Anolis sagrei: one gene and its partners. The main gene of each other region encodes a partner of the protein of the gene in region 4 in a complex. Links are inferred from orthologs where the notes say so. Each region holds a gene or a part of one and is shown on either strand. Other genes may lie near its edges. The genes, in order: EXOSC9, EXOSC6, EXOSC8 and EXOSC2.

The links.
Region 1: EXOSC2 (region 4) and EXOSC9 share a complex: the UniProt entries of both Homo sapiens proteins name them as parts of the RNA exosome core complex. The link is inferred for Anolis sagrei from reciprocal best matches to the Homo sapiens genes EXOSC2 and EXOSC9.
Region 2: EXOSC2 (region 4) and EXOSC6 share a complex: the UniProt entries of both Homo sapiens proteins name them as parts of the RNA exosome core complex. The link is inferred for Anolis sagrei from reciprocal best matches to the Homo sapiens genes EXOSC2 and EXOSC6.
Region 3: EXOSC2 (region 4) and EXOSC8 share a complex: the UniProt entries of both Homo sapiens proteins name them as parts of the RNA exosome core complex. The link is inferred for Anolis sagrei from reciprocal best matches to the Homo sapiens genes EXOSC2 and EXOSC8.

The regions. Positions count from the first base shown.
Region 1 is NC_090025.1:36,467,517-36,474,841, reverse strand, and holds the start of EXOSC9 (exosome complex component RRP45), read right to left. Parts: upstream 3,019-7,325; 5' UTR 2,942-3,018; coding exon 2,876-2,941; intron 1,369-2,875; coding exon 1,274-1,368; intron 531-1,273; coding exon 411-530; intron 307-410; coding exon 204-306; intron 1-203. UniProt on the Homo sapiens protein: Non-catalytic component of the RNA exosome complex which has 3'->5' exoribonuclease activity and participates in a multitude of cellular RNA processing and degradation events.
Region 2 is NC_090028.1:43,418,761-43,426,530, forward strand, and holds the start of EXOSC6 (exosome complex component MTR3), read right to left. Parts: upstream 3,052-7,770; 5' UTR 2,998-3,051; coding exon 2,137-2,997; 3' UTR 2,120-2,136; intron 1-2,119. Other genes in the region: AARS1 (alanine--tRNA ligase, cytoplasmic), read right to left, coding at 7,188-7,373. UniProt on the Homo sapiens protein: Non-catalytic component of the RNA exosome complex which has 3'->5' exoribonuclease activity and participates in a multitude of cellular RNA processing and degradation events.
Region 3 is NC_090022.1:166,884,884-166,892,275, reverse strand, and holds the start of EXOSC8 (exosome complex component RRP43), read right to left. Parts: upstream 3,124-7,392; 5' UTR 3,109-3,123; coding exon 2,890-3,108; intron 1-2,889. Other genes in the region: ALG5 (dolichyl-phosphate beta-glucosyltransferase), read left to right, coding at 3,279-3,338. UniProt on the Homo sapiens protein: Non-catalytic component of the RNA exosome complex which has 3'->5' exoribonuclease activity and participates in a multitude of cellular RNA processing and degradation events.
Region 4 is NC_090031.1:2,833,414-2,840,652, forward strand, and holds the start of EXOSC2 (exosome complex component RRP4), read right to left. Parts: upstream 3,087-7,239; 5' UTR 3,056-3,086; coding exon 2,937-3,055; intron 1,743-2,936; coding exon 1,641-1,742; intron 623-1,640; coding exon 577-622; intron 1-576. UniProt on the Homo sapiens protein: Non-catalytic component of the RNA exosome complex which has 3'->5' exoribonuclease activity and participates in a multitude of cellular RNA processing and degradation events.

The DNA of each region.
Region 1 (7,325 bases), on a different chromosome or scaffold from region 4:
TTATTCTATTTTCAACCATCTTTATTTTATCGATAAAAAATACAAAGATGGAAGAAAAAAGAGACCCATTTAATCAAAGGGGATGATAGATATGTCTCCGAATTCCACATGGATTCAAATGGAAACAAGCAATATGGTTAAGTCAAATAACTTAATTTTTAGAGTTATTAAAATATATTTTTATAATTAATGCTACTACACACCTTTTCACCAGCAACAACACAGAGAGATTCAGTATCTATACACTTCGAATTCCTTAGGCATCTTTCTAACAGTCGATTCAGTTTTACAAGTAACTCAGGCTGTCTAGAATTAAAAAATAAACCTTTAGTTACAAATAATTAAGAAAGACAAAACATTTCTTGAGGAAGCACTGAATGTTATTACTAGGGAGAAGTAGGGTCACATACCTTCCAGGCTCAAATGCAGGTGATGCCATAGGAGAGAGTTCAAGATTAAAGAAAAGTATGCCCTCCGTCGCACGATTTGGCTTTGGGGTGACAAGCTCACAGGACACTTGTCCAAGAATCCTACAAAGAGAAAAGCCACCACATAGGCGAACTTTAAGAGTAAAATTTCAACTGATTGCTTACATGTTTAAAATAACAAGGCGTTCTAAAATTCACATTGTCTTATTCAGAGTTGACATTAACTTGATACAATTAATTGCCAGAAGACATACAATGATATTATGCATATGATTCCCTGTATAGTAATAGAAAATGCAGATGTGGAACACTGAATGTTTACCATTTTGTGATACGTGTTTTAACACTGTTTTTGGAAGCTGTTTTGGATCTTACTCTGGAAGAAAGGTGGAGTATAAATACAGGGCCCTTCTACACAGCCATATAACCCAAAATATCAAGGTAGAAAATCCCACAATATCTGCTTTGAGCTGGATTATCTGAGACCACACTGCCATATATTCGACAATGTGGGATTTTATTCAGCTATATGGAAGGGGCCTGAGTCAGATGTTCTAAGTCCGTCAGTGTTGTCTGCATTCTCCAGGTTCCAGGCAGAGGTTTTGTTACCTAAAAATGCTGAAAACTTCATCATGCAAATTTTGTGCTCTTAGTAAGTTATGGTCCTTTGCACATAATCCTTTCATGTACACTTTTCATTTCCACATTGTAGTTATCAAGACAGTAACTTGGTCATTTGTCTCAGTTAAGGACAAACGAAGGCATCAACTGAAGGCAGATAGCCACATGTGCAACAAGGTAGGAGCAATCAATAAGTGATGGCCATATCCCCTATTCTGAGGTACCTCGTTTTTCCAAGCTCCACAATACAGCAGCCATAGTCAGAGCCAAAGGAGATGCGAAGATTTCTGTAGTCATAGCACTCTCGTCCATCAAGACGCTGTAAAGACAAAACAAGCTAAAATTACAGATGTGAAATATGGGACTGTGGAAAAAGTCAACTAGAATCATAGCATTGAATGAGAATTCATGGGCTATCCAGTCCAACCCCTGGCCAAGAAGCAGGAAAATCACATTCAAAACACTAAATTATATGTACACAGTGAAACCCACTCTTACAGTCCTGAACTCTAGGTTTGCCAACTGTGAAGAGTTTGCATGCCTAAATCCACTTATATGGTACAGAGGTAATTATTTTCCTTATTTCGGCATTTCCATAACTCATCTTCAGGGGCTGACTTTCCCCTCTAGAGCAGCAATTAATAACACTGAAATCCTACAAAGCAGGAAAGAAGATTATAGATGAATCTGACACACTGGGTGTCTTTCACACTACACAGTTAGTGTACTTTGATACTACTTTAACTTCCAAAAACGGATCCTACAGAATTTGGGTACTTTGGTACAGTAAACCACTTTGAGTCCCCCTTGGGGTAAGAAAAACAGTATACAAATACTGTAAATAAATAAATAAGTAAATAAAGCTCTCTAGCAGAGAATTCAAAGAACCCTTCCCTAAATGCAAACCGAAAGATTCCACAGGAAGGCACCATGGCAGCTAAAGAGGTATCAAAATTCTATAATATTTAGTATAAAGAAGACCAGAGTGTCGCATCAGTGAAGTTAACAATAATAATAATAATAATAATAATTCATTTGTTGCCCATCTCTCCTCACAACTCAAGGTGGGGGTATAAAACAGCCAAAACACATTTACCAAAATACATTAATATAACAATTAAATATATCAATAGAATGCAAACTTGAAATGCAGAGTTCAAAATTAATTGGTTGTCAGGGAAGCTGTATGCCCATGTTCAAGAAGCATTCTCTCCTGACATTTCACCCACAACTATGGCAGACATCCTCAGAGGTTGAGGGGTCTGTTGAAAACCAGAGTTTATATCTCTGTGGAATGTCCAGGGCGGGAGAAAGAACTCTTGTCTGTTTGAGGCAAGTATGAATGCTGCAATTGATCACCTTGCTTAGCACTGAATAGCCTTGCAGCTTCAAGGCTTGGCTGCTTCCTGCCTGGGGGGAATCCTTTGTTGGGAGGTTGATTAGCCGGCCCTGATTGTTTATTGTCTGGAATTCCCCTGGAATGACTTCTAGCATTCAGGGCTGGAGAGTGGATTTTAATACTGACTCCTGAAAAGTACAGAATCAGGTTGATCTCTTTTGTCCTCAAACCTTGCTTCGACATTTCAGTTTCCTAATATGTGGCTGGAGATGCATCTACACTGCAGAATTAACACAGTTTGAGGCCATTAATCCGGAGAGCCGTCGTTTTACAAGCCCTTTAGCCTCGTCTGCTCAATTGTGCTGTCGTCTCACCAAACTACAACTCCCGGGATTGAGCCAAAGTGGCATGAAACCGCATTAACTCTACAGTGCAGATCCATCAGACCCATGACTACAATCTCTTCTTCTCTCTCTCGCTAACGCACCTTCCGCTCCTCGATGGCTTTCAGCAGGAAGCGCTTCTCGCAGTTGGACAACGGCGTTTCCTTCATCGCAAGGCCGGAGTGTTACTGCCGCCTTGATTTGAGGCCGCGCTGCTCTTTTCCGGGTTCCGCTCTGATGACGTCATAGAGCGGGCGCACTTTAAAAGCGTCGCTTCCAAAGCATAGCTTCCTCGGCCAATAGGAAGGAACGTTACGTCATCGGGGAGGGGAGGGGGAGGAGGAAGGATCTCTCCTATTCTTGCCTATGTTCTATCTTTGGTGAACTTGGAATTCAAGGGAGAGAGACTTTGGCATCACTGTCACTGTCAACTATTGCTTGGTGCCAATCATTACTACTAAACTGAAACTTATTACTGCTACATGTAATGAACAGGCCATCTTTGTGTTGCTGCTGCTATATTGCACCCCAGGCCTGTGCAAACTTGGCCTCAGGAAGGGGCCTGAGGCTGTTAGGAATGGTGGGAATTGAAGTCCAAAACACCTGGAAGGCCCAAGTTTGCCCAGGCCTGTTGTATCCTTTCTAATTTTATGCTTCTATGTGTTTGATTATATTATGTAATGTTTGTTTGTAGGATTAACGTAACTCAAAAACCACTGGACAAATTGACACCAAATCTGGACACAATACACCTATCAGTTCAACAAGTGTCCATCACTCATAAAAAACACAGCAGAAGGGACTTAAAAAGCTAAAAAAACCATCCGAAAAACATTACAACGCATGTGCAAAACTACATAGGTTAAGGTAAAGGTTGTCCCCTGACATTAGATAGGTAAAGGTAAAAGTTTTCTCCTGACATTAAGCTCAGTCATGTCTGACTCTGGGGTGTGGTGCTCATCTCTATTTCTAAGCCGAAGAGCTAGCGTTGTCCATAGACACCTCCAAGGTCATGTGGCCGGCACAACTGCATCGAACGCCGTTACCTTCCCGCCGGAGCGGTACCTATTGATCTACTCACATTTGCATGTTTTCAAATTGCTAGGTTGGCAGAAGTTAGGGCTGACAGCAGAAGCTCGCGCCGCTCCCCGGAATCGAACCTGCAACCTTTTAGTCAACAAGCTCAGCAGCTCAGTGCTTTAACCCACTGTGCCACCGGGGGCAAAACCACATATATATACGCAAACACACACATATATATATGTGTGTATATACATATATATACACACAAAGCATATACAGACAGACTGGGCCACAGCAACACATGGCAGGGGACAGCTAATGTCCCAAATGCACTTTACTAGACATTTAAGATAGTCTGCACACCGCACCAATCTCCAAAAACCTATTCATTTCACCTGCCATGTCCAACATTTTTTAAAATTTTTAATCATTACATTTGGCCCGGCCTTAGTTTTAAATGCGTCATGGTGTTATTGTCTAATGTTTATTGCTATTGTTTTAATGTTTATTGCTTGTTTTATGAGTTTATTTATTGTTGTATTTGTTATGCTGTTGTTTTATTAATGTGTTGGGCCTCGGCCTCTTGTAAGCCGCACCAAGTCCTTCGGGAGATGTTAGCCAGGTATAAATAAAGGTTTATTATTATTATTACAACTTATCATATAGTACAATACAGGGTTAGTCAAAATGAATAGGCCAAACATACATACAATTAATTTTCTTATTGGCCTATTCATTTTGACTAACCCTGTATATTATATACTACTAGTAGTATAATATTCTGGTAGTGTGTTAAATATATTGTGATATACTAATATTGTAAATATAATAATATAATAATGATATATTACATGTAAAGCTACTAATAATATTGCAGTATAGTGGTATAGTACAATATAGTAATATTGAATACTTATATTGTGCAATGCTAAGAATATAATACAACAGAGTCTCACTTATCCAACCTTCACTCATCCAGTGTTCTGTATTATACAACGCAGTCTGCCTCCCGCCAGGATCCACTGCTGCTTCAATACATTGCAATGTTCTGGTGCTAAATTTGTAAATACATTAATTACGACCTAATGCTACTATGTATTGAACTGCCTTTTCTGTCCATTTCTTGTTTATTTACTATATTTATACCCTGCTCTTCTCAGCCCCAAAGGGGACTCGGAGCGGCTTACAGATTATGGCAAAATTCAATGCCACATTATACAACAAATAATAAATATAACATATTAAATTATAAAACAAAACATATAAATGCAATAAGACAGATTAAAACATGGTTTTAATGGAGCAGGTGTTCCATCAGGGGAGGAATGAGACTCCAAACCGGGGTGGCAGTGTTCACTTGAGAGGGGGTCCAGCTGAATCAAGGGCTACAGCTAGAAGAAACAAATGTCGGTATCTCTGTGCAGACCCATGGATGCTGAAATGCAAGCCAGTCAAGACAGAGTCCAGTAGGACCAAATGGTCCCCAGAGGCTGAGTGAGAAGCTGAGCCAAAGGCAGCAAGGGAAACAAACACTGCCCCTTCCCTCAAAGCCCCTGGTGATGGTACCTTCACTTCTTGCTTAGGCCTGAGGCCCTGCAGGCGTGGTCCTTTTTATTACTGTAATGCAAGGAGGTAACTTGCAAATATGATATAAAATTAAAAGGTGGGGCAAAAAAAAAAAGATTCTAAATAGTCCTTACTATTTCATTCTCAGAAAAGTCTGTATCATTCAAATAGCTTCTAGGGCTGCATTTGGCAAATCTGTTTGCATTTTCTGAAAAGCCTGCACTAAACCCATCAAAGTCCACTTTTTGAGGCATTTAAACATTTATTTAATATGGTAATCCAAGGATGTTGAGTTGCCTTTCTCACCAAGTTTACTATTCATCTATGATTGCATCCCGTTCCCTTTGGAAATCAGAGAGAGAACATCTCACGGTGTTTAGTCGTAAACGGATTGTGCTTTAACTCTGATTGACATGTTAATGAATTTCTGTCTGCTCTCTAAATCTCAGAGGCTACATTTTGCACAATAATCACTCACTGTATATACCTTATGAATGGAAAGGATGAAGCTGACTCTTCTCGCTTGTTTATTTAATATATACATAGCTGCACAGCTACATAGTCTTTCGGCAGTGTTACTTGAGAGAGATCCCATAGACAAAATCAGAGTGTGACCTAAATATTCTTAGGCTGCAGCTCCCATCATCCCTCCCCATTGGTTTGGCTGGCAAAGACTGAGGAAGGAGCAGACCTCACAATCTCTGAGAATGCTTGCCATAGATGCAGGCGACATGTCAGGAAAGAATGCTTCTGGAACATGGCCATACAACCTGAAAAACTTACAGCAACCCAGTCCAAAAACATTTATAGGGTTGCCTATTTTAGTGTTGCCAAGTTTCCAAAATACCAATAAAGGAAGTTGAAATTCACGACAATTAAGAAACAGCCACCTAAATGAGTTGTGGGCCCTTTCCACACAGCTGAATAAAATCCCACATTTTCTGCTTTGACCTGGAATTTATGGCCATGTGGACTCGGATAACCCAGTTCAAAGCAGATACTGTGGGATTTTCTGCCTTGATGACTGGGATTTATGGCTGTGTGGAAGGGCCCTTTGATCTTGTAGTGAGATGTCCATAATTGATTTATTTCTGTACAAAGAACAACATGTTTTTGAACACCTAGTAATCAAAATAATGGCTTTGTTTTAAACATTTTAACTCCCATGTTTGTTGTTGTTTATTTGTTCAGTCGCTTCCAACTCGTCATGACCTCATGGACTAGTCCACGCCAGAGCTCCCTGTCGGCCGTCACCACCCCCAGCTCCTTCAGAGTCAAGCCAGTCACTTCAAGGATACCATCCATCCATCTTGCCCTTGGTCAGCCCCTCTTCCTTTTTCCTTCCTTTCCCCCCAGCATCATTGTCTTCTCTAAGCTTTCCTGTCTTCTCATGATGTGGCCAAAGTACTTCTTTGCTTCTAATATCCTTCCCTCCAATGAGCAGTCAGGCTTTATTTCCTGAAATATGGACTAGTTTGATCTTCTTGTGGTCCAAGGCATTCTCAGAATTTTCCTCCAACACCACAGTTAAAAAGCATCTATCTTCCTTCCCTCAGCCATCCTTATGGTCCAGCTCTCACATTCGTCGATTACTACGGGGAATACCATTGCTTTAATTATGCAGATCTTCGTTGCCAGTGTGATGTCTTTACTCTTCGCTATTTTATTGAGATTGGTCATTGCTCTCCTCCCAAGAAGTAAACATCTTCTGATTTGCACCTAGAAATACAAAGTTTGTCACTGCCTCCATGTTTTCTCCCTCTATTTGCCAGTTATCAATCAGTCCGGTTGCCAGAATCTTGGGGGGGGGGGGGGGGGTATGTTTAACAGCAACCCAGCTTTTGCACTTCCTTCTCTCACCTTAGTTAGAAAGTTCCTCATCTCCTCCTCGCTTTTGACCATCAAAGTAGTATCATCTGCATATCTAAGGTTGTTAATGTTTCTTCCAGCAATTTTAACCCCAGC
Region 2 (7,770 bases), on a different chromosome or scaffold from region 4:
GTTGGGGATGGTGGGAGTTGGAGTCCAAAACACCTGGAAGGAAGGCCTAAGTTTACCCAAACCTGATGTAGAGGCAGAATGGGCCTGAGGCTGTTGGGGATGGTGGGAGTTGGAGTCCAAAACACCCAGAGGGAGGGCCAGAGTTGGCCTAAACCTGATCTAGAGGCAGAATGGGCCTGAGGCTGTTGGGGATGGTGGGAGTTGGAGTCCAAAACACCCAGAGGGAGGGCCAGAGTTGGCCTAAACCTGATGTAGAGGCAGAATGGGCCTGAGGCTGTTGGGGATGGTGGGAGTTGGAGTCCAAAACACCCAGAGGGAGGGCCAGAGTTGGCCTAAACCTGATGTAGAGGCAGAATGGGCCTGAGGCTGTTGGGGATGGTGGGAGTTGGAGTCCAAAACACCCAGAGGGAGGGCCAGAGTTGGCCTAAACCTGATGTAGAGGCAGAATGGGCCTGAGGCTGTTGGGGATGGTGGGAGTTGGAGTCCAAAACACCTGGAAGGAAGGCCTAAGTTTACCCAAATCTGATCTAGAGGCAGAATGGGCCTGAGGCTGTTGGGGATGGTGGGAGTTGGAGTCCAAAACACCCAGAGGGAGGGCCAGAGTTGGCCTAAACCTGATCTAGAGGCAGAATGGGCCTGAGGCTGTTGGGGATGGTGGGAGTTGGAGTCCAAAACACCCAGAGGGAGGGCCAGAGTTGGCCTAAACCTGATCTAGAGGCAGAATGGGCCTGAGGCTGTTGGGGATGGTGGGAGTTGGAGTCCAAAACACCTGGAAGGAAGGCCTAAGTTTACCCAAACCTGATGTAGAGGCAGAATGGGCCTGAGGCTGTTGGGGATGGTGGGAGTTGGAGTCCAAAACACCCAGAGGGAGGGCCAGAGTTGGCCTAAACCTGATCTAGAGGCAGAATGGGCCTGAGGCTGTTGGGGATGGTGGGAGTTGGAGTCCAAAACACCCAGAGGGAGGGCCAGAGTTGGCCTAAACCTGATGTAGAGGCAGAATGGGCCTGAGGCTGTTGGGGATGGTGGGAGTTGGAGTCCAAAACACCCAGAGGGAGGGCCAGAGTTGGCCTAAACCTGATGTAGAGGCAGAATGGGCCTGAGGCTGTTGGGGATGGTGGGAGTTGGAGTCCAAAACACCCAGAGGGAGGGCCAGAGTTGGCCTAAACCTGATGTAGAGGCAGAATGGGCCTGAGGCTGTTGGGGATGGTGGGAGTTGGAGTCCAAAACACCCAGAGGGAGGGCCAGAGTTGGCCTAAACCTGATGTAGAGGCAGAATGGGCCTGAGGCTGTTGGGGATGGTGGGAGTTGGAGTCCAAAACACCTGGAAGGAAGGCCTAAGTTTACCCAAATCTGATCTAGAGGCAGAATGGGCCTGAGGCTGTTGAGGATGGTGGGAGTTGGAGTCCAAAACACCCAGAGGGAGGGCCAGAGTTGGCCTAAACCTGATCTAGAGGCAGAATGGGCCTGAGGCTGTTGGGGATGGTGGGAGTTGGAGTCCAAAACACCCAGAGGGAGGGCCAGAGTTGGCCTAAACCTGATCTAGAGGCAGAATGGGCCTGAGGCTGTTGGGGATGGTGGGAGTTGGAGTCCAAAACACCCAGAGGGAGGGCCAGAGTTGGCCTAAACCTGATGTAGAGGCAGAATGGGCCTGAGGCTGTTGGGGATGGTGGGAGTTGGAGTCCAAAACACCCAGAGGGAGGGCCAGAGTTGGCCTAAACCTGATCTAGAGGCAGAATGGGCCTGAGGCTGTTGGGGATGGTGGGAGTTGGAGTCCAAAACACCCAGAGGGAGGGCCAGAGTTGGCCTAAACCTGATCTAGAGGCAGAATGGGCCTGAGGCTGTTGGGGATGGTGGGAGTTGGAGTCCAAAACACCCAGAGGGAGGGCCAGAGTTGGCCTAAACCTGATCTAGAGGCAGAATGGGCCTGAGGCTGTTAGGGATGGTGGGAGTTGGAGTCCAAAACACCTGGAAGGAAGGCCAAAGTTTACCCAAACCTGATGTAGAGGCAGAATGCTGGCAGTTGGATGCCAGAGTATCTCAGGCCCCTTCCCCGCAGTCCCTAGTCCCAGATTATATATTAATTCCAGACTAAGTGGGCAGGGCCTGAGGCTGTCCATACCTGAGTGGGGCTGGGTCTCATGTGATGGGGTGGGGCGCCCCTTCCTCTTCCTCTGGGGTCTTGTGGGGGGGCGGGGGGTCCCCCTTGGGCGTGAGGGCGCGGAGGAGGCTCTTCCTGAGGAGCGGGTAGAGGCGGTGGCATCCGTCGAGTCCGAGGCGCAGGGCCCGTGCCCAGCTGTCCGGGGGGCCGCCTTCCCCGCTGCCCAGGAGGCCGGCCACTTGGTTGAGGGAGGGCAGGAGGGCCACGGTGAGGTGGGCGCGGGCGCGGCGGGTCTCGGCCTCGTCGGGCTGGAGCAGCCACTCTCCCCCTGCTGTTCCGGGGGCGAGGGCGAGGGCGCAGGCGGCGGGCAGGTCGAAGAGCTCGACGCCGGCGTGGGCCAGGGCGAGCCCGGAGGCGCAGAGGGCGGCGGCCAGCACGGAGCCCCCGTCCTGCAGCACCAGCGCGCTGACCTCCAGCTGGGCGCGCGGGTAGCGGGAGAGGCGGGCGGCGGCCGAGAGGGACTCCGTCAGCGCCTGCGCCAGGCACGGGTCGCGCTCCGATGACCACCGACGACGGGGCCCGCGGGAAGAGAAGGGCGCGCGCCGGAACTCGCACACCAGCCGGCCCCCCGACTCGCTCCCCGCTCCTCCTCCTCCTGCGGGGGCCTCTCGGGGCCCGTACACGCCGCACAGCACCTTCGTCCCGCCAGACAGCTCCACGAAGGCCGAGCCCTTGGCCTGGCTCAGCACCGCCGCCCGCGCGAACACCGCCTGCAGCGCGGAAGGGTCCCGCCCCGGCTTTTCAGGCTTCTTCTCCGCCTCCTCCGCCCCCTCGGCCACGAAGAGCAGCGAGGACTGAGACTCCTCCGGGCCCGGCACGCGGCGGTGGTCCAGCGGCATGGCAACACTCCCCTCACCGTCGCAGCCTCACAACAGGAAGCGGAAGGAGAAGCGGCGCCCACTGCGCCTGCGTAATCGCTCCCTCTCTCTCTCTGTCTCGCGCCCCCTGCTGGCCTGGAGGAGGAGGAGCAGGCTGCTCAAAGGACCACTCTCCTCTGAGCGCGCTCTCTCTCTCTCTCGCCCCCTGCTGGCCTGGAGGAGGAGAAGCAGGCTGTTCCTCTATTGATCTCTGCTCAGAAGAAACCCATTCTCACAAGGGGAAGCGGAAGAGGAAGCGGCGCCCACTGCGCCCTCTCTCTCTCTCTCGCCCCCTGCTGGCCTGGAGGAGAAGGAGCAGGCTGCTCAGAGGAGCACTCTCTCCTCTGAGCGCTCTCTCTCTATCTCGCGCCCCCTGCTGGCCTGGAGGAGAAGAAGCAGGCTGCTCCTCTTTATTGATCTCTGGTCAGAAGAAGCTCATTCTCACAAGGGGAAGCGGAACAGGAAGCGGCGCACACTGCTCCTGCGCCCTCTCTCTCTCTCTCTCGCCCCCTGCTGGCCAGGAGGAGGAGGAGCAGGCTGCTCAGAGGAGCACTCTCTCTCCTCTGAGCGCTCTCTCGGGGAAGCGGAAGAGGAAGCGGCTCCCACTGCGCCTGCGCCCAGGCTCCCTCTCTCTCTGTCTCGCGCCCCCTGCTGGCCTGGAGGAGGAGGAGCAGGCTGTTCCTCTTTATTGATCTCTGGTCAGAAGAAACCCATTCTCACAAGGGGAAGCGGAAAAGGAAGCTGCGCCTGCGCCCTCGCTCCCTCTCTCTCTCGCGCCCCCTGCTGGCCTGGAGGAGGAGCACGCTACTCAGAGGAGCACTCTCTCCTCTGAGCGCTCTCTCTCTCTTGCCCCCTGCTGGCCTGGAGGAGGAGGAGCAGGCTGCTCCTCTTTATTGATCTCTTGTCAGAAGAAACCCATTGAGCAAGCATGGGCAAACTTGGACTCCAGGTGTTTTGGACTTCAACTCCCACAATTCCTAACAGCCGGTAGGCTGTTAGGAATTGTGGGAGTTGAAGTCCAAAACACCTGGAGGGCCCAAGTTTGCCCACACCTGCCATTGAGAATAGACATACAATTCATAGAATCCTAGAATTGGAAGAGACCTCCTGGGCCATCATCATCCAGTCCAACCCCATTCTGCCAAGAAGCAGGAAAAATGCATTTAAGCACCCCCGACAGATGGCCATCCAGCCTCTGTTTAAAAGCTTCCAAGGAAGGAGCCTCCACCACACTCCGGGGCAGTGAGTTCCACTGCTGAACGGCTCTCACAGTCAGAAAGTTCTTCCTCATGTTCAGATGGAATCTCCTCTCTTGGAGTTTGAAGCCATTGTTTCGTGTCCTAGTCTCCAGGGAAGCAGAAAACAAGCTTGCTCCCTCCTCCTCCCTGTGGCTTCCTTATACATGGCTATCATATCCCCTCTCAGCCTTCTCTTCTTCAGGCTAAACATGCCCAGTTCCCTAAGCCGCTCCTCATAGGGCTTGTTCTCCAGACCCTTGATCATTTTAGTCGCCCTCCTCTGGACACATTCCAGCTTGTCAATATCTCTCTTGAATTGTGGTGCCCAGAATTGGACACAATATTCCAGGTAAAGTGGTCTAACCAAAGCGGAATAGAGCATGGGGAGCATGACTTCCCTGGATCTAGACACTAGGAGAGAGAGTGAGTTCAAGGAGTGGCAGCAACCAATAGTGAAATGACCAAGGCAGTGACATCTCCAGCTCACCCCGTTTGAGTATCAGCCAGCATGCCAACGACTTAAAGCAAGAAATAGTTTTCTAATATCTATAGAGACACTCGCTGGAACACCTCAGCAAACGAGACCCCAAAAGTGGCAGGCTCAAACCCTGATAGTTTAAGAGGCCCTGCTCTCGGTCCCACCAACGTCACAAACAAAGCTGGTGGGGACGAGGGACAGAGCCTTATCAGTAGTGGCCCCCGCCTGTGGAATTCACTCCCCAGCAAAATTAGATCACTGAAGACATCTGCCTTGCGCTGTGCTCCTCTGCTGCTGAGTATGCATGTCCAGTGTGGAACACATCTCACCATACTAAAACAGTGGATGTGGCTCTTAATGAGACATGTCACATTATCATGGGGTATCTGCGCCCCTCACCACTGGAGAAATTACACTGCTTAGCCGGTATTGCACCACCTGACATCCGCCGGGAAGTGGCAGCCAATAGTGAAAGGACCAAGGAAGTGACATCTCCAGCTCATCCCCTGTTTGGGTATCAGCCAGCACGTCAACGCCTTAAATTACGAAATAGTTTTCTAAGATCTACAGAGACACTCGCTGGAACACCTCAGCAAGCGAGAGTCCAAAAGTGGCAGGCTCAAACCCAGAACCTCAACCAATGGCTGATACCCAATGAGAGACTCCCCCTGGGCACATTTGGCCCAGCCATAGTTTTTAAAGTGTGTTGTCCTATTTGATAATGCTTATGTTATTGTTTTGCTGTTTTAAACTGCTTGTATTGTTGTTGTTATTGCTTGTATTGTTGTATTTTGGGCTCGGCCTCATGTAAGCCGCACCGAGTCCCCTGGGGAGATGGTAGCGGGGTATAAATAAAGTGTTATTATTATTATATGTTCTAGAGCAGTGGTTCTCAACCTTCCTAATGCCGCGACCCCTTAATACAGGTCCTCATGTTCTGGTGACCCCCAACCATAATATTTTCGTTGCTACTTCACAACTGTAATTTTGCTACTGTTATGAATGGTAATCTAAATATCTGATATGCAGGATGTATTTTCAGTCACTGAACCAAATTTGGCACAAATACCTGATATCCCCAAATTTGAATATTGGTGGGGTTGGGGGGTGATTGATTTTGTCATTTGGTAATGGTGGAGTTGCTGGGATTTATAGTTCACCTAAAATCAAAGAGCCTTCTGAACTCCACCAGTGATGGAATTGAATCAAACTGGGCACACAGAATTCCCATGACCAAGAGAAAATACTGGGAAGGTCTGGTGGACATTGACCTTGAGTTTTTTGGAGTTGTAGTTCACCTACATCCGGAGAACACTGTGGACTCAAGCAATGATGGATCTGGATCAAACTTGGCACAAATACTCAATATGCCCAAATGTGAATACTGCTGGAGTTTGGAGAAAATAGGAGTTGTAATTGTTGTGATTTATAGTTCACCCGCAATAAAATAGCATTCTGAACCCCACCAATAGAATTGGACCAAACTTTCCACAGAACCCCCATGACCAACAGAAAATACTATGTTTTCTCATGGTCTTTGGCGACCCCTCATGACCCCCATGGGGGTCCCGACCCCCAGGTTGAGAAACACTGTTCTAGAGGCATTCTCTCCTGATGTTTCGCCTGCATCTATGGCAAGCATCCTCAGAGGTTGTGAGAAGCCATTCTTAAGCACAACGTGCCATTGTTGACACATCAAGTTGCAATTAAAAATAGCAACACATGCAAACTACTCTTCTTGGCTGTGCAGAAAGGAAAGGAAATGACTGTGGCTGGGGCAAACTTTTGTTGAGAAGGCTTTCATGGCCGGAATCACTGGGTTGTTGTAGGTTTTTGTGGGTTGTAGGCTTGAGCATATCACACTGCAGCATGGTTATATGTAATGTGCCCATGTGCCCATTGCTTTTGTTTCTACAGCAAGACACTCACTTAAATAGACATCTGTTTATTCAGCATGGAACCTGGTGAAGCACAGCTCCTCGTGCCAGAACACGCCTGGCTTGGGCTTGGCTACAACAGAGGTTAATACTATGAATGAAGGAGGGGCTTTCACAGTTACAGAGATAAGGGATGAAATGACCGAAGTGTTGAGCCTTGGCCCCGCGCATGCAAAACGCCCCAAGCGCTTGAGCACGGACAGAGAATTCGTGGGCCATGTCTTATTGCAAACTGTACAAAGACATTCAAGTTTAGAGCGTCAGGAAGTATGTGACTTGTATGTGCAAGGAGATTTTTACCACATTTCGATTCGAACTTGTGCCGCCACAGGCTCCCACGTTCTGTGCTCAGGGCATTTCCTGGCACGGCCGCCTGGCTTGGTTAGTGCCTGAGCGGATGAGCTGAGAAGGACAACAATGCACGTAACGTTGTTTCCAGTTATCACTAAGCTGTTAACCTACTGGCGGAGCAGACAAGGGCTTCCTTGCCTGGATCTCTTCCCTGAAGGGGGGGGGGGGTCAGTTCTTCAGCTCGCCCAGTTTCAGCTTGGCAAAGTCCGTGGCCACCTCCAGGACCTCCTTCAGGCAGTCAGTGTTCTTCCCGGTCGCCTGAGCCGAGAGGTCCTTCCCGCCCCCCTTGCCATCCATCAGGACCGACACCTGCTGCACCCATTCGCTAGCTTTCAGGCCTTTGTTGACAACGTCCTGCGAAAGACAGGAAAACAGCAAGTTAGATGGGTTGCTGTAGGTTTTTTTCGGGCTATATGGCCATGTTCTAGAGGCATTTTCTCCTGACATTTCGCCTGCATCTATGGCAAGCATCCTCAGAGGTAGTGAGGTCTGTTGGAACGAGGCAAAAGGGTTTATATATCTGTGGAATGACCAGGGTGGGACAAAGGACTCTTGTCTGCTGGAGCTAGGTGTGAATGTTTCAACTGACCACCTTGATTAGCATTTGATGGTCTGACCGTGCCTGGTGCAACCTTTTATTGAGGTGATTAGCTGTCCTTGTTTGTTTAGTGAGGTCGGTTGGAACTAGGAAAATGGGTTTATATATCTGTGGAAAAACCAGGGTGGGACAAAGGTCTCTTGTCTGCTGGAG
Region 3 (7,392 bases), on a different chromosome or scaffold from region 4:
CTTATTCTACACGGGGCTGCTTCTGAAGACTGCTTCAGCTGGTCCAAAGAGTTGCAGCCACGTTGCTAACTGGGGAGAGGGCAACCCTCCTGTTGCAGCAGCCCCACTGGCTACCAGTCTGTTTCCAGGTCCAGTTTATGACAATTTAAAGGTTATGACTTTAAAGCCCTAGATGGTCCAGGTCCAGGCTATTTTAGGCTGACCGCATCCACTTGTATAAACCTGCCCAGGTCCTGAGATTTTCAAGAGAGGTCCTTCTCTCAGTAACACCTCCATTTCAAGCTCGGTTGGTGGGAATGAGAGAGAGGGCCTTTCTTTTTAGTGGCTGCCCCTTGACTCTGGAATTCCCTTTCTTCCCAGGAAACCAGAATGGCCCTGTCCCATGACAGACTTTTAAAGATAAAGGTGTTTAAGATCTAGTAAGGGGATGCTGTGGTTTTCAACTTTGAATGTGTTTTAATGGATTTTAACTGTGAATGTTTTAGTGCTGTTTGTATTTAATTCTGTTTTAAAATGTATAGATTTGTATATTTTAAACTGTATACTAAGGCTTTTATATCAAGCCACTTTGAGTCCCCTTTGGGGATATAAAGCACGGAATAAATAAATAAATAATAACAGCAACAAGGCAGCATGAACCAGCCTTAGGCCCCATCTACACCAATCATTTAATGCAATGCGGCATCCACACAAAAAAACTCCCACAAATCCTATAAAAAGAAACCCTAACTGCGCATCAGTGCTTTGTAGGATCATCATCTGGGCCGCAAACCATTTCCAAGATTTTCCATGAAATTGTCTGCACAGTAAAACTACTTTTCTTCCATGCTGGTCTGAAACTTTTTAGATGTGCCTTTAATGAGAGGAACGGCACAGAGACCGAGGAGGCAAGAGTGGTGCCTGAAAGAGGCCCTTCCCCACCGCCTGCCTCTAACATGATGAAATTCTAAATTTGAAGGTGTTCCGTTTCGATAAGATTCCAGACAGAATGATAGAGTTGATAGCACTATGTAACACAATTTTTGTTCCTGGCTTTTCCTAATTCGTTCTATAATTAAAACATGGGGAAAGTTTATTGAACTGCAAAAGCCTTGCTTTTTGCAGGACATTCTGCAGCACATTCTGCTATAGATTTTCCACTGAATATCAGGTGTCAACCAATTCAACATAGTTTCCGGCAGCCACAAAACGAAGTTTCTGGAGTAGAACAACTACTTTCAAAGTACGTAGCGCACAATTAAACAGGAAAGAACACCTTCAAACCAGGAACAGATTTTTTTCAAATGTTGTTACATAGTGTATCCACATACCAAAAAAGGGAAATGCGAAAGATTGCTCAAACTTCCGTACAGTGGCCCTTATTTCTCATGCCAGTAAGGTAATGCTCAAGATCCTGTAAGGAAGACTCCAGCAATACATGGAGCGAGAGTTGCCAGATGTACAAGCTGGGTTTAGAAAAGGCAGAGGAACGAGAGACCAGATTGCCAATATCCGCTGGATAATGGAGAAAGGCAGGGAGTTTCAGAAAAACATCTACTTCTGCTTCATTGACTATTCTAAAGCCTTTGACTGTGTGGATCATAATAAATTGTGGCAAGTTCTTGGTGGGATGGGCATACCAAGCCACCTTGTCTCTCTCCTGAGGAATCTGTACAAGGACCAAGTAGCAACAGTCAGAACTGACCACGGAACAACAGACTGGTTCAAGATTGGGAAAGGTGTACGGCAAGGCTGCATACTCTCACCCAACCTTTTTAACTTGTATGCAGAACACATCATGCGATGTGCAGGGCTGGATGAATGCAAAGCTGGGGTGAAAATTGCTGGAAGAAATATTAACAACCTCAGATATGCAGATGACACCACTCTGATGGCTGAAAGCGAGGAGGACCTGAGGAGCCTTCTAATCAAGGTGAAAGAAGAAAGTGCAAAAGCTGGGTTGCAGCTAAACATAAAAAAACCCCAAGATTATGGCAACAAGAATGATTGACAACTGGAAAATAGAGGGAGAAAATGTGGAGGCCGTGACAGACTTTGTATTTCTAGGTGCAAAGATTACTGCAGATGCAGACTGTGGCCAGAAAATCAGAAGACGCTTACTTCTTGGGAGGAGAGCAATGTCCAGTCTCGATAAAATAGTAAAGAGTAGAGACATCACACTGGCAACAAAGATCCGCCTAGTCAAAGCCATGGTATTCCCTGTAGTCACCTACGGATGTGAGAGCTGGACCTTAGGGAAGGCTGAGCGAAGGAAGATCGATGCTTTTGAACTGTGGTGCTGGAGGAAAGTTCTGAGAGTGGCTTGGACTGCGAGAAGATCCAACCAGTCCATCCTCCAGGAAATAAAGCCCGGCTGCTCACTGGAAGGAAGGATACTAGGGACAAAGTTGAAGTACTTTGGCCACATCATGAGGAGACAGCAAAGCGTAGAGAAGACAATTATGTTGGGGAAAGTGGAAGGCAAAAGGAAGAGGGGCCGACCAAGGGCAAGATGGATGGATGGCATCCTTGAAGTGACTGGACTGAATTTGAAGGAGCTGGGGGTGGTGACGGCCGACAGAGAGCTCTGGCGTGGGCTGGTCCATGAGGTCACGAAGAGTCGGAGACGACTGCACGAATGAACAACAACAGTGTAATCAAACCTTAATGGCAGAGCATTCGTTGACTGGTTCGTCTATTTCCATTGGTTCTGCCCTGAACTTTTACACTGTAGCAGCGAAACAATTTGAACAATAAACAAGGAACCCTTCGGGAGTCTCTGAGCGTGTGCCACAAAGCAGGCAGTGTACGTTGACCGGGCCTCCCCCCGAGTTCAAGTCAGGGGACTCAGAACTTCCCTAACGCAGGGCCTCATTCGTCCTCAACACGGCTCTGGGCGCCGCTCCTCACCTGAACCCACCGGCCGCCGCCATTCTCCCTCACGCGCTCCTCAAAGGGCCAATGAGGACGCTCTAGGCTCCCGACCTGGGTGGGTCTGAGCGGAAGGAAGCGAGCGCGGCGCCGGAAGTGCTCCTTTTGGCGGAAGGACGGGTAACGATCGAAATCTCCGTCACGTTCCACCAACCCAGAAGCCCAAACGCGTGCTTCCGCCCTCAAAGGCCATGGCATGACCGCCCTCAAAACTCCAGAAGAGGACGACTTGGGCCCGCCAATTGCGGCGCTCCCTGTCTCCGGAAGCTAAGGCTGTAGCGGCCCTTTGCCCCGCCTTGTGGCTCTGCCCGCTTCCGCCTCCGTGTCTTTTCCTGCAAGCTGGGCGTTCTTGCCGTTTGCGGGGAGCGATGGAGCTGCTGTGGCTGGTGGAAGGACTGGCGGCGCTGGCGGGGGTCGGGCTGGTCCTGGTGAGCGTGGCAGGCTGCTGCGGGGCTCTGGGTGGGCTTTTCGGGCACCCTTCTCCGTCTCTAGGGGCTCTGAGCGAACAACCCCACGCTATCCTTTAAATAAGGTTCATAATTACAGCTGATGGTTTGGAAAGGCCATTTGAAAGAACAACCTATTCCTTGGTCGTCTTTGAAATGAGGTGCTGGGTTTGGGCCTGCCACTTTTGGACTCTCGCTTGCTGGGGTGTTCCAGCGAGTGTCTCTGTAGATCTAAGAAAACTATGTCTTGATTTAAGTCGTTGACGTGCTGGCTGATACCCAAACAGGGGATGAGCTGGAGATGTCTCTGCCTTGGTCCTTTCACTATTGGCTGCTACTTCCCGGCGGATGTCAGGTGGTGCAATACCGGCTAAGCAGTGTAATTTCTCCAGTGGTGTGGGGCACAGACACCCTGTGATAATGCAGCATGTCTAATTAAGAGCCACATCTACTGTTTTAGTGTGGTGAGATGTGTTCCACACTGGGCATGCATACTCAGCAGCAGAGTAGCATAGCGCAAGGGCAGATGTCTTCACTGTGTCTGGTTGTGATCCCCAGGTTGTGCCAGTCTGCTTTCGTATTATGTTGTTTCTAGCGCCCACGTTTTGTTTGATGTTCAGGCAGTGCTTCTTGTAGGTCAGAGCACGGTCCAAAGTGACTCCCAGGTATTTGGGTGTGTTGCAATGCTCCAGTGGGATTCCTTCCCAGGTAATCCTCAGAGCTCGGGATGCTTGTCTGTTCTTAAGGTGAAAGGCGCATGTCTGTGTTTTAGATGGATTAGGGATCAGTTGGTTTTCCCTGTAATAGGCAGTAAGAGCACCTAGAGCTTCGGAGAGCTTCTGTTCTACCATCTCAAAGCTCCCTGCTTGAGCGGTAATGGCACGATCATCAGCATAGATGAAACTCTCTGTCCCTTCTGACAGTGGCTGGTCATTTGTGTAGATGTTGAACATGGATGGAGCAAGCACGCTCCCCTGAGGCAGGCCGTTCTTCAGTTTCCGCCATCTGCTTCTCTGGCCCTGGAACTCCACAAAGAAGCTCCTGTTTTGTAGCAGGTTTCCTATGAGGCGGGTGAGGTGGTAGTCCTTTGTGATATTATGCATTTTTCTCAGGAGGAGGTGGTGGTTCACAGTATCATAGGCTGCTGACAAGTCTATGAAGACAGCTCCTGTGATCTGCTGCCTTTCAAAGCCATCTTCTATGTGCTGAGGGCCAATTTACGGTCTCTCAGACTATAGTCTGAAAAAACATGGACAAATTCCAGTGCACACTGCAGGTGTCTTATTTGTAGTGCAAAAAAAAAATCCATGAAAGAACAAGACAATATTTACAACGAAAAACAATTCTAACCATCACAAACTTACCAGTATTTCAACGGAAAGTGTGGATTTGCTTTTGGCTGATTAGAGAGTCAAGTTAATTAGGATTGTCATGTGCCTTCGAGTCGCTTCAGACTGAAGGCGGATCTCAGTCTTAAGTTTAGGGCAGGGAATGGGTGAATTACCTTGGAGGGCCTTATCTGGCCCACAGACCTTAGTCCCCTTGCTTATATGATACCCACCATGATAATCAAGATTAAAGTAAAATGACCAAAGTTGGGGCATCTTCCTCCAGAATAGAATCCTTAATGCCCATTGGCACTCTTTCAGCTAAACCACACTGCATTGGAGCCCCTGGTGGCGTAGTGGATTAAAGCCCTGTGCTGGCAGGACTGAAGACCGACAGGTTGCAGGTTCGAATCCGGGGAGAGGCGGATGAGCTCCGTCTATCAGCTCCAGCTCCTCATGCGGGGACATGAGAGAAGCCTCCCACAAGGATGATAAAACATCAAATCATCCAGGCGTCCCCTGGGCAACGTTCTTGCAGATGGCCAATTCTCTCACACCAGAAGCGACTCCGGTCGTTCCTGACACGACAACAAAAAAAACCCACACTGCATGGCAAAAGCAATGAACCAAGGGAACACTCCAGCAACCCGCTCAAGTGGAAGAGGGAGTTGGGAGGGAAATAACCCACATTCTCTGCATCTCTTAAGATGCAGGCTCTGAAACCAGATGGAGGCCATCCTGTGTGTTGCATATAAGCACTATCCAGGCCTCAACCTGGTTCGACGGCTTGCCATCAAACCATCCATACCACTTCCCCTATGTTGGTTTTGAACTAGTCAGTATAAATCACTATTTCTTAAACTGTGGGCCCTGATCCCGAATGGAATTTCCTTTGCTCAGTGTTGGGGTCATGAGAAATTTGGCAGCAGTAAAAGGTTTCTGAACACCCTGGTGTATCTTCGGGCATTTACAGTTGAAGATGTAATGTCCCTAGAAGAGAAATGATGCTTACCCCTGGAGAGGGGTACATCCTGGGAAACAAATCTTCCATAGAAGTTGGATGCTCCCCCCTCTTCATTTTTTGCTGTATGCTTTCACTCCTCTATATCTATGGATTCTGCATGCATGGAAAAGGCAAAGTATGCATGTTTATCTGTTTCTACCATTAAGGCTGTTGCTAGATAAAGTGGCCCTCTGTGATGCCACTGGTTGGGGCTGTTGCTAGGGGAAGTGGCCCTCTGTGATCTTGTTGGTTGACATGCATAAGAGAACCATGTTGTCATGGAGACATTGTAGGAGCCCCCAGTGGTGCAGTGGGTTAAACCACTGTGCTGGCAGGATAGGTCGCAGGTTCAAATCCGGGGAGAGGCAGATGAGCTCCCTCTATCAGCTTCAGCTCCTCATGCGGGGACATGAGAGAAGCCTCCCACAAGGATGATAAAAACATAAAATCATCTGGGCGTCCCCTGGGCAACGTCCTTTCAGATGGCCAATTCTCTCACACCAGAAGTGACTTGCAGTTTCTTAAGTCGCTTCTGACATGACAAAAAAAAATGGAGACATTGTGAGGTAGGCCTTCTCAGAGCTGGAGAAGGGAGACAGTATGTGGGGAGCAGTCCTAACAACACCCAGGTAATGCCAGGTATACTTGATTTTGCCATTTTTATAAGGGGTACCATTGTATTAGGCCCTTGGGACTTGAGCATCTACAGATTTTTGTATCCACAGGGGAGTCTGGAAACCAAAGTGCCCACTGTACTTAATAACACTGTTCAACGGAGAAAAAGTTGCGGGCCTGAAAATAGTTGTTCTTTTATGATTTTGGGGTGCTGAAAACGAAAATGACATTTAAAAATGTATATTGGCTCTAGTTTTTATGATATAAGCAATCACGTGATCACGTATGGTTGAAAAAAATGCATGTTGCGACTTACACTATGGACGATTCTAGAAAGTTGCGGGCCTGAAAATAGCTGTTCTTTTATGATTTTGGGGTCCTGAAAACAAAAATGACATTTAAAAATGTATATTGGCTCTAGTTTTTATGATATAAGCAATCACGTGATCATGTATGTTTGAAAAAATGCATGTTGCGACTTACACTATGGAAGATTCTAGAAAGTTGCGGGCCTGAAAATAGCTGTTCTTTTATGATTTTGGGGTCCTGAAAACGAAAATGACATTTAAAAATGTATATTGGCTCTAGTTTTTATGATATAAGCAATCACGTGATCATGTATGTTTGAAAAAATGCATGTTGCGACTTACACTATGGAAGATTCTAAAATACTCTAGAAAGTTTGATGACGCAGTATTAGTGCCATGTACAAAAGCCAGAAAGCCCTATTTAAGGCCAGACTTTTGAACGGTGAGGGTCAGTCAGTTGAAGACTGAGACAGTATCGTTAAACATCGTTTTACATTGTTCTTTTTACTGTAGTTATGCCTCACACGTGTGTAAATAAAGCACTATGGGGAAAAGATATCAAGGCAAATGGACTCCGTCAATGCTGTCAGACTACTGCTGGAGCATTGTAAGAAACAATCCTTTCCTTGAATACAAAAGAAAAGTCAAGAGAAGCAAACAGGATATAAACTAAAGTCACGATTAAAGCAACATTTAAACTTTCAGACTTTTCAACTGCATTAGGCCTACTAATATAGTGTCTTGCTGCACAAACATAAACAATAGACTAATTAAATAAATAT
Region 4 (7,239 bases):
AGTCCTTCGGGAGATTTTGCAGGGTACAAATAAAGCTAATAATAATAATAATAATAATAATAATAATAATAATGTTAAGGAAAATAACAATAATAATTGGTGTTTCTTTTATAGTGAAAGAAAGTGGGATATAAATAATAATAACAATGTTAAGGAAAATAATAATAATAATAATAATGATAACGTTAAGGAAAGGGCTGCGGTGGTGCAATGCGTTAAACCGCTAAGCTGCAGAACTTTCTGACTGGACAGTTGGCAGTTTGAATACGTGAGATGGGGTGAACTCCCGTCGTTAGCTCTAGCTTCTGCCAACCTAGCAGTTCAAAAACATGCAAATGTGAGTAGATCAATAGGCACTGCTTTGGCAGGAAGGTAAAAGCGCTCCTTGCAGTTCTATCAGTGGCCCCATGACCTTGGAGGTGTCTATGGATAACGCTGGCTCTTTGGTTTAGGAACTGAGATGAGCACCTCCCCCAGAATCGGACTTGACTTGACTTAATGTCAAGGGGAAACTTTTACCTAAGGAAAGCTTTGGATGTATTCAAGATGCAAAAGCCAGAAGTTTGGCTTGTTTACCTCAGTGATGCGCCCTACCACAATGTCTCCGACTTCACCGTTATACCTGAAGAACAGAACAAAATAATTAATCATCACATCATAAATTTATTACCTTGCCTCCTTGCAGCTCGTCACTCTTATTTGCAGCATTGTCGTTTTCTTAGACAGTGATATGAGGTCCACAATATTTGAGACAGCCACCCCAATATTCCTTATTTAATATGTATGGTGACAGAATGCAATGCATATTAAATAGATGTTATTTTTTTAAAAAATCTATTTTCTGGAACTTCCTGGATGTCTAATGAAAGTGGGTTGCATTTCACTCACCTGGCAAAAGAATTGCAGCCTGTAAGACCCCTTTAGTAGTAGTAGTAGAAGAATAGTAATAATAATAATAATAATAATAATAATAGGTTGTTGTAGGTTTTTTCGGGCTATATGGCCATGGTCTAGAGGCATTCTCTCCTGACGTTTTGCATGCATCTATGGCAAGCATCCTCACCTCACTACCTCTGAGGATGCTTGCCATAGATGCAAGTGAAACGTCAGGAGAGAATGCCTCTAGACCATGGCCATATAGCCCGAAAAAACCTACAACAACCCAGTGATTCCGGCCATGAAAGCCTTCGACAATAATAATAATAATTCATTATCTGCCCCTCCTTACAGTGGATTAAATTCCTGACCTGCCAAACTTGCTAACTGAAAGGTCACAGGTTTGAATCCAGGGAGCGGGGTGAGCTCCCGCTGTTAGCCCCAGCTTCTGCCAACGTAGCAGTTTGAAAACATGCAAATGTGAGTAGATCACAAGGGAATAGATTGCCCTTGTGACTCCTTCTCTGGGTGTTTTTAAGCAGAGCATAGACTCAAACTCTTTGATTCTGTGATTGTATTAAATTCACATAACAAAATAAACACAGCTGTAGAGGTATCTCGCAATAATATTAATATAGTCAATATAATGACTATATTAATATTATTGTTGCCTATATTAACTAGTAGTTATTATAATACTAGTTAATATAGGCAACAATAATATTAATATAGTCATTATAATAACCACAATAGGCTGAGCTCACCTGGTTTTCAGGGCTTTGACACAGACCAGCTTATTCACCCGCTCCACCAGGCCGGCCACCGAGGCAATCAGCTTCTCGTCCCCCAAATACGTCCCGTGGCCCCTTAGGGACATAAAAGAATATACGTCACTGGCTACGATTTAAAGTTCTCATTAATATAATAATATTAATAATACACCTTATGCTCATATTTTGAGCAGACTTTGTTTGAGGTAAGGGGTATAAACAGATATAATTAGATATATTTAGATATATAGATATACATTTACATGTATTTTAGGTATATATATATATATAGATATATTTAGAGATAATATTTTTGGAGAATGAATTAAATTGAACCCATGGAAAAAGGCCATTCTGTCACTTTGATAATGGCAGACTTCATATGGCAGACTGCATCACCCATCATCCAATACACTGAAGCTCCCATGATCTCCTTCCTTCCCACAGTCACCTGACGACATTCCTTCCTTAACACGGATCCTCTACATCTCCCATCATTGACTTAGTGAGCTGAAGTTCCCATTATCCCCTCTATAGCCTCCCAAAGACAGTGGACTACATCTCCCATCACTCAGTCAGCAGAAGCTCCCAAAAGTATCACTTATAGCCCTCTTCTAGTCACGACACTGAACTGAAGCTCCCATTTCCCCCTCTATGGCCCCCCAAACACAGTGGACTACATCTCCCATCACTCAGTTAACAGAAGTTACCAAAAGTATCACTTATAGCCCTCTTCCCAACACAACACTGACCTGCAGTTCCCATCATCTCTCCAAAACACAGTAGACTACATCTCCCATCACTCCATCAACAGAGGTTCCCCAAAGTATCACTTATATCCCTCTCCCAGACACCACACTGAACTGAAGTTCCCATTATATCTCCCCCCCAATCACAGTGGACTACAGCTCCCATCACTCAGTCAGCAGAAGCTCCCAAAAGTATCACTTATAGCCCTCTTCCGAACACGACACTGAGCTGAAGTTCCCATTGTCTCCTCTATAGACTCTCAAAGACAGTGGACTACATATCCCATCACTCAGTCAATACAGATTCCCAAAAGTATCACTTGTAGCCCTCTTCTAGACACGACACTGAGCTGAAGCTCCCATTATCCCCTCTGTTGCCCCCCAAACACAATGAACTACATCTCCCATCACTCAGTCAACAGAGGTTCCCAAAAGCATCACTTGTAGCCCTCTTCCAGACACAACACTGAGATGATGAAGCTCCCATTATGCCCTTCCTGGGAGTGATGGGAGTTGCAGTCCCCCTCCTCCTCCTCCTCACCTCATGTATCCCGGGTCGGTGGTGATGGTGTCTCCGGGGGCCACCAAGTCCCTTTCCCCGTCGCCTTTCGCCAGGCGCTTCCGAGCCACCGGCAGCCGCACTTCCACCGCCGCCGCCATCTTGGATGAGGGCACCCAAGCTTCCGGTAAGGCTTCGACTTCCGGTCCCGCCTGGAGAGGCCTCGGGACTCTATGGAAGGCTCTCCCTTCGGCGCCCTCTGGCGGTCCCTGCCCGTATTGCACGCCTAGGATGGTGAGTGAGACCCACACTCCCAAATTCATGACTGTTGGGCAAGGAGGATTTCATATATAAATATATTATATAAATAAAATAAAATGAGTAAATAAAATAAAATTTATTATATAATGTAATATATTACTTGTATATATTATATTGGAGTGTTTTTTATACATTTCCTTTCTATCCAGATGATTTATTTCAAATTGATTCACAACAAATGCATTATTATTATTATTATTATTATTAAATATGCAATTCTATATTTGGATTATTGTTTTATATATAATATAAAATATATAAAATAAAATATATGACATGCGCATTATATATATATATATTATATATATATAATATGACATGTGCATAACATAAAATATATAATATAAAATATATAAAATATATTATATGGCATGCACATTATATTGGCGTGCTTTTAAAAAAAACTTCCTTTTTATCTAGATTATTTATTTCAAATTTATTCATAATAAATGTATTATTATTATTATTATTATTATTTTGCAATTCTATATTTGGATTATTATTTTATATATAATATAATATATGACATACATATTATATTGGTATGCTTTTTAAAAATATTTCCTTTTTATCCAGATTATCTATTTCAAATTTATTCATAATAAATGTATTATTATTATTATTATTATTATTTATTTATTTATTTATTTGCTTTATTTTTATACCGCATTTTTCAGCCTAAATCGGCGACTTATTATTATTATTATGCAATTCTATATTTGAATTATTATTTTACAAATAATATATGACATGTGCATTATATTGGCATGCTTTCTTAAACATTTCCTTTTTATCCAGATGATCTATTTTAAATTATTATTATTATTATTATTATTATTATTAACTCTTGTCTGTTGGAAGCAGGTGTGAATGTTGCCATTGGCCACCTTGATTAGCATTGGGTGGCCTTGCAGCTTCAAGGCCTGGCTGCTTCCTGCCTGGAGGAAATCCTTTGTTGGGAGGTATTACCTTGAATTCCAGACAAGAATTAATCAGGGCCCCTGATTAATTCCTCGTTCCCAACAGACCTCACAACCTCCAAGGATTCCCCCCAGGCAGGAAGAAGCCAGGCTTTGAAGCTGCAAGGCCATTCAGTGCTAATCAAAGTGGCCAATTGCAACATTCACACTTGCCTCAAGCAGACAAGAGTTCTTTCTCCCACCCGGAACATCATCCTACAGGTATATAAACCCAATCTTCCTAGTTTCCAACAGACCTCACCACCTCTGCCATAGATGTGAGCGAAACGTCAGGAGAGAATGCTACTGGAACATGGCCCGACAGCCCGGAAAACTCACAGCAACGTTATTCTTTGGGAATTCCTCCTTCCTTCTATAGATACATATTGTTTTTGTTATTGCAAAGACCATGCTATATATAAGTAATTATTTTGGATACTCTTCTCTGATTATTTTTTTTCGCATTTGCATATGCATAATGACCTTCTATGGCCAATCCTTATTGCAAGCCTTAATCCATTGAGCAGACTTGCAATAACCCTTTGGTTTCCAACTGCAATCCTTTGCTGCCCTCAAGTGTCCATTGCTGGAGTTGCAGGAGACTGAGTTGATTATTCCATCTCATTTCCCCCTATGGAAGCTTCAATCTTGGCATCCCATCATTCTCTACTTGCAACACAACAACTCCCAGGATGCCATAGCAAATGAAAGCGGTGCTAAACTGCATCAATTCCACAGTGTAGATGCATCCCATGAAAGTGTTGGTGCACCTTATGAAAGTTGATGTTGTCGACATTTCTCTGCCATCTTCTTGCATTCGTGCTGGGGGATGATGGGCTAGGTAGTGCTGTTTCAATTGCGTTATTACCGAATGTAATTCCTCCACTGACCAAACCCTTCACAAGTTTATATTTTTGGGCTTTGATATCTTTATCAATGATTTATAAATGGAATAAAAGGCATCCTTATTACATCTACTTAATTTAATGTAAATAAATAAATTATTAAATTAAATAAATTATTAATTAAATAAATTATTTAATAAATTATTCTATTTAATTTATTCCCATTTATATAATTATTTAATTTATTTAGTTAGTTTAATTTGAATAAATTTATTTATTTAATTAATTATTTAATTATTTTATTAATTAATTAAATTATTCTATTTAATTTCCATCTAAGCAAACCTATTATGGAATCATAAAGGTAGAAACTGTTGGAGTATGCAAGGAATCAGTTCATGTGTGTGTGTGTGACAACTGTAAAATATGATGCATGAAGCTGATTGGGAAGCAGGCTGAGCCTGGGACTTTCGGAAACTGTTACGTTTTTGTTTAGGCTTGAGCTATGCAAGTGCAGAGAGGGAAGAAGAGAGAAGCAGAGAGAAGACAGTTTGGAGTGTGCTCTTGCTTCGCGAGCTGCTAAGGAAGGTTTCTCCACATGGACAGAGTAAGACCACTTTAAATCTCTCATAAAAGGACGTTATGTGAGTTGATGCAACTGATAACATTGTACATATGTTGTTCTGAACTACAAAGAGTAAACTACTCGGTTGTTGTAGGTTTTTCGGGCTATATGGCCATGTTCTAGAAGCATTCTCTCCTGACGTTTCGCCTGCATCTATGGTGAGACCTTACAACCTCTGAGGATGCTTGCCATAGATGCAGGTGAAATGTCAGGAGAGAATGCTTCTAGAACATTTGCCATATAGTCTGAAAAACCTACAACAACCCAGTGATCCCAGCCATGAAAGCCTTCAACAATACAGTAAACTACTTGTTCTTTACTGTTCACTTGCGTGGCATATTTTCTTTCTCTGGCAAGGCAGTGTGTGGGCTGATCAAACGTGAACTTTACATGGTTCATTTTACATTATGCCACAGAAATGACCCCCCCCCCCCTGTAAAGGTCATCCAAGTCAACCCCAATTTTTCCAGGAAGGGAGACACCACAAAAAACCTCCAGGTGGATAACCACACAGCCTCTCCTTTGGCAATGACAAAGGAGGGCACTGCCTTCCCTTGAGGCCAAGAGAGTGCAACTTGCATGGCCGAGCAGGGATTTGAACCCAGGTCTCAAGCCCCAGGGCAATAATTTGCAGGTAAATATATATATTTATTAATTAATTACAGTATTTGGAGTCCAAGAGGGTAAAGAGAGGTACAAAGAACGGTTTGCCAATACAATCTCATAGAATAACAAAGCTCTGTAAACACAGGAAGTGTTGTCATTATTATGACTCTAATTATTATTATTACATACGTATATAAAGTGACCATCATTCTCTGGAAGCTGTCCGCGATGCATCTGTACATCCGATCCTGATACGAATGGATATTGTCGCTATCGTTCCATCTGTTTGCATTCAATTTAATTTGCTTTGAAGGGTGCCATGAAAAGAGATAGATTAGGCATGGGCCAAGTTTGGCCTTCCCTCCAGGTGTTTTGAACTTCAACTCCCACCATTCCTAACAGCCTCAGGCCCTTTCCTTTTCCCGCTCAACTGCTTAAGCTAGATGATAGAATCATAGATCTAAGAGATGCCTACCTTCAGGTAGTGATAGAGTGATAGATCTAAGAGATGCCTATTTTCAGGTAGATGATAAGAGTGATAGATCTAGGAGAGGCCTACCTTCAGGTCCCAATAGATATATTGTTATAATGCTTAAGCAGCTGAGGGGGAAAGGCTGTTAGGAATGGTGGGCATTGTAGTTCAAAACTCCTGGAAGGTCCAAGTTTACCCATGCCTGAGATAGGACCTGCACTACATCTCCCGTGCAATGGGAATCTCCCACCTGACTGATGGGAGATATAGTCAGGCATCTCCAGGAGGAAAGCACCCAGGGTGAGAAACATTGGTTCATGGAATCATCAAGGGGGAATTGGGACCCTCCCAGAGGTCATCCAGTCCAACCCTTTTCTACCAGGCAGGAAGACACATCTAAATCCCTCCTGACAGATGGCCATCTCGCCTTGGTATATAAAACTTCCAAAGAAGGAGATTCTCATGTGAAACAGCTCTCCTCGCCATCAAAGTTCCTCCTAATGTTTCGGTGGAATCT